2 linked regions of the Oryctolagus cuniculus genome follow. The protein of the gene in region 2 binds, or shares a complex with, the protein of the main gene of each other region. Links are inferred from orthologs where the notes say so. Each region holds a gene or a part of one and is shown on either strand. Other genes may lie near its edges. The genes, in order: WASHC3 and WASHC1.

Region 1 (3,817 bases), on a different chromosome or scaffold from region 2:
TTTTTCTTTATTCCCTAAACAACATAGTATAAACAGCTATTTACATTGTATTAGGTATTTTAAATAATCTAGAGATGACTTAAAGTATATGAGAAGATTGTATAGGTTGTTTGTAAATACTACAACATTTTATATAAAGGATTTGAGCATTCCCGGATTTTTATATCCATGAGAGTTCCTAGAACCAATCCCCCCTAGATACCAAGGAATGACTGTATTTAGATATAGTTTGCATTTAAGGAATAAATCAGATGATCATTTACTTAACAATTAGATATTAGAAAACGTAACCTCAATTAATATAGTAAATTCCATTGTGATACAGTATACTTGTATATAATATACAAGTGGAAATTCAGATGTTGTAGAGAAGTTTAACTATACAAGGTTCTGTGAATTAAATATAGACCACCTTTTTTCTTTTCTTTTTTTTTTAAAGATTTATTTATTTATTTGAAAGTCAGAGTTACACAGAGATAGGAGAGGCAGAGAGAGAGAAAGAGAGAGAGATCCTCCATCCTATGGTTCACCCCCCAATTGACCGCAATGGCTGGAGCTGTGCTGATCTGAAGCCAGCAGCCAGGAGCCCCTTCCAGGTCTCCCACACGGGTTCGGGGGCCCAAGGATTTGGGCCATACACACTCTACCGTCCTCCCAGGCGACAGCAGAGAGCTGGATCGGAAGTGGAGCAGCTGGATCCCGAACTGGTGCCTATATGGGATGCCGGTGCTCCAGGCCAGGGCGTTAACCCGCTGTGCCATGGTGCTGACCCGACCACCTTTTTTCTAAAACAAGACATCTGTAAAGAATATTAAGTAAATATTCCCACTCTACTTAGTATTTATTCTTTGGTAGATAAAACTGTCATATAGCTCTATAAGTATTATCTGTCTTACTTTGAATATTAATTTCTCCAAGTGCTATTATAAATTTCATCTATGATATGTATTTTATTTTATAACTTTTATGCTGTTGTTAGTCTTTGCCTATTTAAAGTCATCAAATTGAATACAGTAATCACAGATGAATTTCTTAATTTGCTTCAAAGTTAAAAGCAATTGGTATAACTCTGACAATTTTATTCTAAAGTTGAAGATTAATTCCCTTAGAGAATTTATGACCGTCTGTTGGCTTTCCAAGTTTTAAAAAATGTGATAAAGTTGCTTGTTGATTAGATTAATAAAATAACTACTCAGTATGTTCATAATATTTAAGTCTACTTCACATTCCTTTCTTCATTGTTATTGATTGAAATATTTTTGAAATGGGCTTAACACAGAATTTCCATTTACATTACAATCAACTCGATTGTCAGTTAAAGAATTATGCAGTTGTTAAAGAAAGTTAACCATTTATCACCATCTCTTATCTATGTTTGAGTCAAAAAGATTTTTATAGAATGATTTTTTTGCAACTTTAATTCCATGGTTTACATTTTATCATTCATAATAGAACATCCAGTTGTACAGCTTGAGATTAATTTGAAAATAAAATGAAGGACAGTTGAAAGATGTAACAGGATTTAGTTGGTTATTCAAATAGCAAAGGTGTAAGACATTATATAATTAAACCTTGCTGAGGTATTGATTTTTAGGACAAAGTTAACAGCTGACTTGGAATCTGTTTGGAATGTAGTTCTTGTTTACTCCAGTTTGCTGATGTATGAGTTTATGTCTATAAGTTTTTTTAAACATACTTGGATCTGTTTGACTTTCGTATTTAATTAACAATGTTTTGAATTTTTCTATTTATGTATATTACAGGTGAATATATGTACAGGAATGTAGATATAGATATACACTCACTTTTGTAATACTTAACAGTATCATATCATAGGAAAAATCTAAAAGTTATTGGAGGCCTTTTTTGTTTCAGAGTTTTTGACAAGTTAAATTTATATGTGAATTATTTGAGGAAAATTCACATCCTTATTCCAAACACTATGGGAAGATTATGAAATGTTGATTTATCTGCATTTCATCATAAATACAGGGACATACAATTGATTTCATTTGTTAAAGAAATTTCTCTTGATGTTTATGTGCAGATAATGAATGGATTCACCAAGGTTATTCTAAATCTATAATTTGATAGAAAATTCAAGTATTATAAACTGGCAGTCCTACCTGTGCCCTTAAGCAAAGACAGGGCCAAACATCAGTTAACAAAGTACCATGCACACTGAGGACTGCCTGTATAATGAAAGCATTTTTTAACCTATAAAACACTGTTCTCCAGTGTTCTTCATTGTAAGTAGTATATAGTATTTAACCTTAACCACTGTGTGGACAGCATTATCACTGATAGTTCTGTCAGCAGCTGAAAAGTACAAAACCAGCTAATTTCGTCTGAGAAATTAGTTCTTCCCCACCAATTATGCAGGCATTGCTTTCTAAAAAGTTAGAACAGCCATACCCATTTAGAATAAGGTGACTTAATAAATGAAGAGTTCAATAGGTGATAGATACTTATAAGTTCTCTGTCAGAGTTAATAGTTATCCTTGTATAATTCATATTTTGTATGAAGATTCTGGGCACAAGAGAACCAAAAATTTAATTTTTTGATGCCATGAGTATAATTGTGTTTTAAGGAACGGTTATTAAGTATAGCTTCCTCTGAAGTCATATTTAAGTGTTGGTAAATATTTGGAAATATACATCCAATAATTAAATTACTGGTGTTTAAATTAATTCAGAAGCATGATTTTTTCCTGTATAATTATAAAGAGAAACATCCCTTTTAAGTAATTTGATGGACCCCTTTTGTGAATTGTCTAAAGATTTACACCAAATACTCTCTACAGCAGAACAGTACACAAGACTGTGGACCACAGGAAAATGAAGTATCAGCAGAAAATATCTTAACTGTAGCCAAGGATCCAAGATATGCCAGATATCTCAAAATGGTTCAAGTGGTAAGCTAATTTGGACTGTCTTCTCTGTTCAGCAGCCTCATTTGAAATTCTTAACCCTGGAAGTTTCATTGCTATTTTTTTTCAATCTGAGGAAACTGCCAAACTGAGTGACCAAGTTATCTGCTCTCTCACTTCCTTTCGATTTTAGTTAATATCCTGATAAAAAATTCAAGTCAAAGCTTTCTAATTACAATTAGTCACACTTCAAATTTGCATAGTTTAATATAGATTTATGTAATGTTTTTGCTTTACACAAAGTTTTCAGTGCACATCTTGGTTGAATCAGCAAAGAATGAAAGAGGACTATTCATTTGGCAAATCATTTACTTTAGCTTAATTCCCATATACTAGCATAAATATTTTTAAAAAATATTTTTATTGTACTGTTTATTTAACAGTGATTTGATTTGTAAGATAGAACTTAATTCTCTTGGCCATGTCAGATTAGACTTTCAAAATTAGATGACTTCAGAATATTTGTAGTTGTCCATAATAAGACTTAAGAAGTTAATTTCATTCTTATAGAAAGTCCTATTATCATGGTTAAAAGAACCTGCTGGCCGGCACTGCGGCTCAATAGGCTAATCTTCCGCCTGCAGCGCCGGAACACGGGGTTCTAGCTGGATTCTGTCCCGGTTGCCCCTCTTCCAGGCCAGCTCTCTGCTGTGGCCAGGGAGTGCAGTGGAGGATGGCCCAAGTGCTTGGGCCCTGCACCCCATGGGAGACCAGGAGAAGCACCTGGCTCCTGGCTTCAGATCAGTGCGATGCACTGGCCGCGGCGGCCATTGGAGGGTGAACCAACAGCAAAGGAAGACCTTTCTCTCTCTCTCTCACTGTCCACTCTGCCTGTCAAATAAATAAATAAAAGAATCTGCTGACCATCGTTGTTCTGTTAACCGAAA
Region 2 (3,817 bases):
GTCACTGTACAGCGAGCCCCTGCCAGGTGCCGGGCCCCGTCCCAGAGAATGGAGCAGGGAACAAAACCCAGCCCTGACGCCTGCAGCACACGCAGGCTGGAGGTGCGTCAGGCCCCACTGGGTCGGGGGTGGGGAACGTGGCAGGTGCACGTTGGGAGACCATGGTCAGGTAGGCTTGTGAGGAGGGGACTTAGGTGAAGCAGCCAGCTGTGTGGGTGTCTGCAGGAAATGTTCAAGTTGCTAAGGCCACAGACAAGCGTGCTTGGCATGTTCAGGGGTGGCCAGGCAGTTGGTGTCCAGGGCACAGTGGAAGCAGGTGAGGAGCCAGACCACCAAGAGCCAGGGAAGCCGTGACCAGGGCCTGGATTGCCTCTGCAGAACCGTTCATTATGCGTAGGGGCCAGCCTTGCTGGTCACTTAGCCCCACTGAACTCGGGGGTCTGCCGCGGTCTGCCTCAGCTGGGTTGTAGGGGCCTGTGACAGCGCTTGCCACCTGCCAGCAGCTGTATGTGAATGTGTAATTGCGGCTGTCCTGCACACCCCTGCCTGAGACTGGACACTCCTGGGGCAGGAGGCAGGGCCCCAGGGAAACTAGTACAGTTCATTCCCAGGCCTCTGTGCTTGGAGAATCCTGGTAGCGTCCCCCAGAAGCTCTACAACAGGCCAAACAGATAACGTTTTGAGAGACCTGGCCCCGCCCTGGCCTTACAAGTCGGCTGTTAGCAGCAGGAGAGACAGGAGAATGAGGGCTTGGGTGCAGTCCCCAGCCTTTGTGACCTTACCCTTGGCAGGATCTCCCAGCGAGTGGAGCTGAGCCGGAGCCAGCTGCAGGCCATCGGGCAGAGGGTCTCCTTGGCCCAGGCCAAGATTGAGAAGATCAAGGGCAGCAAGAAGGCCATCAAGGTAGTCTGTGCACCCCTGGGTTCTGTGGTGGACAGGCAGTTCCTCCATCTCCCGCACTCCTGCTGTCCTGCCACACGTCAGGTTTCCCTCCTTGCGGCATCCCAGTACCCACTCCCACACTACCAGCCACCCTTGGCTCTCTGGAGCCCCTCAGGCCCCAGATGTGTCCCTGTGTCCACAGGTGTTCTCCAGTGCCAAGTACCCAGCTCCCGAGCGGCTGCAGGAATACGGCTCCATCTTCTCGGGCGCCCAGGACCCCGGCCTGCAGGGGCGGCCCCGCCACAGGATCCAGAGCAAGCACCGCCCCCTGGATGAGCGGGCCCTGCAGGTGTCATGGCCACATACCCTGGGCAGGGAGGCTGCGGGCCCACTGGACAGAGAGTTGTCCCTGGAGAGGATGCGGGGATGGGGTGGGGTCCACAGGACCCAGAGCTGAAATCTCCATCTACCCTCTGGCCGCCCCCAGGAGAAGCTGAAATACTTCCCCGTGTGTGTGAGCACCAAGCCCGGACCTGAGGATGAAGCCGAGGAGGGGCTTGGGGGCCTTCCCAGCAACATCAGCTCCGTCAGCTCCTTGCTGCTCTTCAACACCACCGAGAACCTGTACGGCCAGGTGGCGGGGCTGTGCGGAGAGGCTGGGTGGACTGGCCGGGCCTACAGGGGCAGCAGGAGCCGAGCGCTTTCCTCCGGCCTGTGAGGCTTGGGAAGCCACCGTGGTCAGGAATGCAGCCCTAGAAGGGAAGGTGCTGCTGGCCTGACACCCCTCCTCCCACAGGTACAAGAAGTACGTCTTCCTTGACCCGCTGGCCGGTGCTGTGACCAAGACCCATGTGATGCTGGGGGCAGAGACAGGGGAGAAGCTATTCGATGCGCCATTGTCCATCAGCAAGAGAGAACAGCTAGAGCGACAGGTGGCAAGGGGCGGGGGAGAGGCAGGTGGTGGGGTCCCTGCAAGGAGCCATAATCCCACCCAGCTGTGTGCTGGCACAAGGCGACCTCCCCTCTGCCCCAGGGTCACGATGTGGCCTGCAGCCCCGTTGGCCGCTCATGCACCTCACTGACCCTACAGGTTCCAGAGAACTACTTCTACGTGCCAGACCTGGGCCAGGTGCCCGAGATCGATGTGCCTTCCTACCTGCCGGACCTGCCCGGCATCGCTGATGACCTCATGTACAGCGCCGACCTGGGCCCCGGCATTGCCCCCTCGGCCCCCGGCGCCATTCCAGAGCTGCCCACCTTCCACACGGAGGTGGTGGAGCCTTTCAAGCCAGGTGAGCTGGGAGCTCCGGGGGACTCCCTGGCCCCGCAGCCTCCTTCTCGAGGGCCTCACGTGTTCCCAACCTTCTCTTTCAGACCTGGAGGATGGGGTGCTCACAGCACCCCCACCACCCCCTCCACCCCCGCCACCTCCCCCAGCACCTGCGGTTCTGGTCAGTGCCCCACCACCACCTCCCCAGACAGTGGCCTCCACCGGCCAAGGTGCCAGGGTAGATGACAGCGGCAGCAGTGGGCCTCCAGGTAGGAGCAGCACTGGGCAGGGGCCAGGGCACACACACACTCTGAGGCACCTGTAGGTTCAAGGGACTGTGAATTCTGCGAATTCTGCATGTTCGGAACAGCTCTCCTTTCAAATGTTTTATTCAGTGGGTTCATAAAACCCTGTTTTTCAAGTGTCCTAGAGAGCTCCGGAATTCTAACCCCAGGAGGGGGAGCCTGGGCCCCCCATTCCCACCAATGGGGAAAGGGGGTTATTTAAAATGTGAGGTCACAAACTTCAGTTGTGATGTTCTAGCTCCTGGTGCATGGCCCCATCCACAAGGCACACAGAAGTCCCTCGCTGGTTCGTGGGGCACTGCTGAGACCCTGTCAGCCCATCAGGAATCTCAGCATTCGCCTTTGCAGTGGGAGAACTAGGAGGGCTGCATCTAGGCCCTGGTGCTCGGGCAGCTGGGGACAGGAACACCCAGGCCGCCGTGCGCACCGGGCTTCACCTTCAGCCGGCCCGAGTCCCTGCCTGAACAGCCTTCCCCCCTCCCAGCGGCAGTCCAGGGAGCTCCCAAAGAAGTGGTCGACCCCTCCAGCGGCCGGGCCACCCTGCTGGAGTCCATCCGCCAAGCCGGCGGCATCGGCAAGGCCAAGCTGCGCAGCGTCAAGGAGCGCAAGCTGGAGAAGAAGAAACAGAAGGAGCGGGAGCAAGGTGAGGGGCCCCCTCAGGGGAGGGGCCGCCCCGACATCCACCTCCGCTCTGCCTGCACAGTGGGCTTCCCCCCAGGTTGGGCACCTACAAGACAGACAAAGCTTGAGCTTAGCTTTCCTCTCTAAGGGGACTCGTCGTGAGTACCCCTGGCCCAGGGATACCCTGAGGCAGCACCTGAGGGGGAGCTCAGTCCAAGTCCTGAAAGCCCTCTGAGGCTGCAGTTGATGGGATGGAGACCTGGGCAGAGAGCAGCAGAGCCCCTGTGGTCAACGGCCCCGAGCTCACACCTAAGCTCTCTGGCCAGGTTTCCTGCAGGGCTGCTCACACTGATGCAACTCTAACACTGCTGGGTCTGCACAGAGGCACCGAGAGCAGGTGGTCAACAGGTGGTGGTGGGTGGGGCCGAGTGCAGCTAAGCCAGGGACTTCCTGCCTGGCTCCTCCACCTCCCTCACTGTGGCTTTTCTGTTGCAGTGAGAGCCACGAGCCAGAGTGGGGACCTGATGTCGGATCTCTTTAACAAGCTGGTCATGAGACGCAAAGGTCAGAGGCCTTGGGCAGGGGATACTTGCATCCTACACGGTCCTCCCCTAAGTTCCCAGGGGCTGAGAATGGGGGCCCCGGCCCACCTCCCTCACTCAGCCTTTTCCCTTGCAGGCATATCTGGGAAAGGACCTGGGACAGGGGCCAGCGAGGGGCCTGGAGGAGCCTTCGCCCG

Evidence for each region.
Region 1: WASHC1 (region 2) and WASHC3 share a complex: the UniProt entries of both Homo sapiens proteins name them as parts of the WASH core complex. The link is inferred for Oryctolagus cuniculus from reciprocal best matches to the Homo sapiens genes WASHC1 and WASHC3.

What each region holds. Positions count from the first base shown.
Region 1 is NC_091442.1:104,997,224-105,001,040, reverse strand, and holds part of WASHC3 (WASH complex subunit 3), read left to right. Parts: intron 1-2,804; coding exon 2,805-2,915; intron 2,916-3,817. UniProt on the Homo sapiens protein: Acts as a component of the WASH core complex that functions as a nucleation-promoting factor (NPF) at the surface of endosomes, where it recruits and activates the Arp2/3 complex to induce actin polymerization, playing a key role in the fission of tubules that serve as transport intermediates during endosome sorting.
Region 2 is NC_091440.1:106,627,957-106,631,773, reverse strand, and holds part of WASHC1 (WASH complex subunit 1), read left to right. Parts: intron 1-791; coding exon 792-903; intron 904-1,084; coding exon 1,085-1,231; intron 1,232-1,369; coding exon 1,370-1,506; intron 1,507-1,678; coding exon 1,679-1,814; intron 1,815-1,972; coding exon 1,973-2,174; intron 2,175-2,256; coding exon 2,257-2,421; intron 2,422-2,941; coding exon 2,942-3,100; intron 3,101-3,573; coding exon 3,574-3,642; intron 3,643-3,756; coding exon 3,757-3,817. UniProt on the Homo sapiens protein: Acts as a component of the WASH core complex that functions as a nucleation-promoting factor (NPF) at the surface of endosomes, where it recruits and activates the Arp2/3 complex to induce actin polymerization, playing a key role in the fission of tubules that serve as transport intermediates during endosome sorting.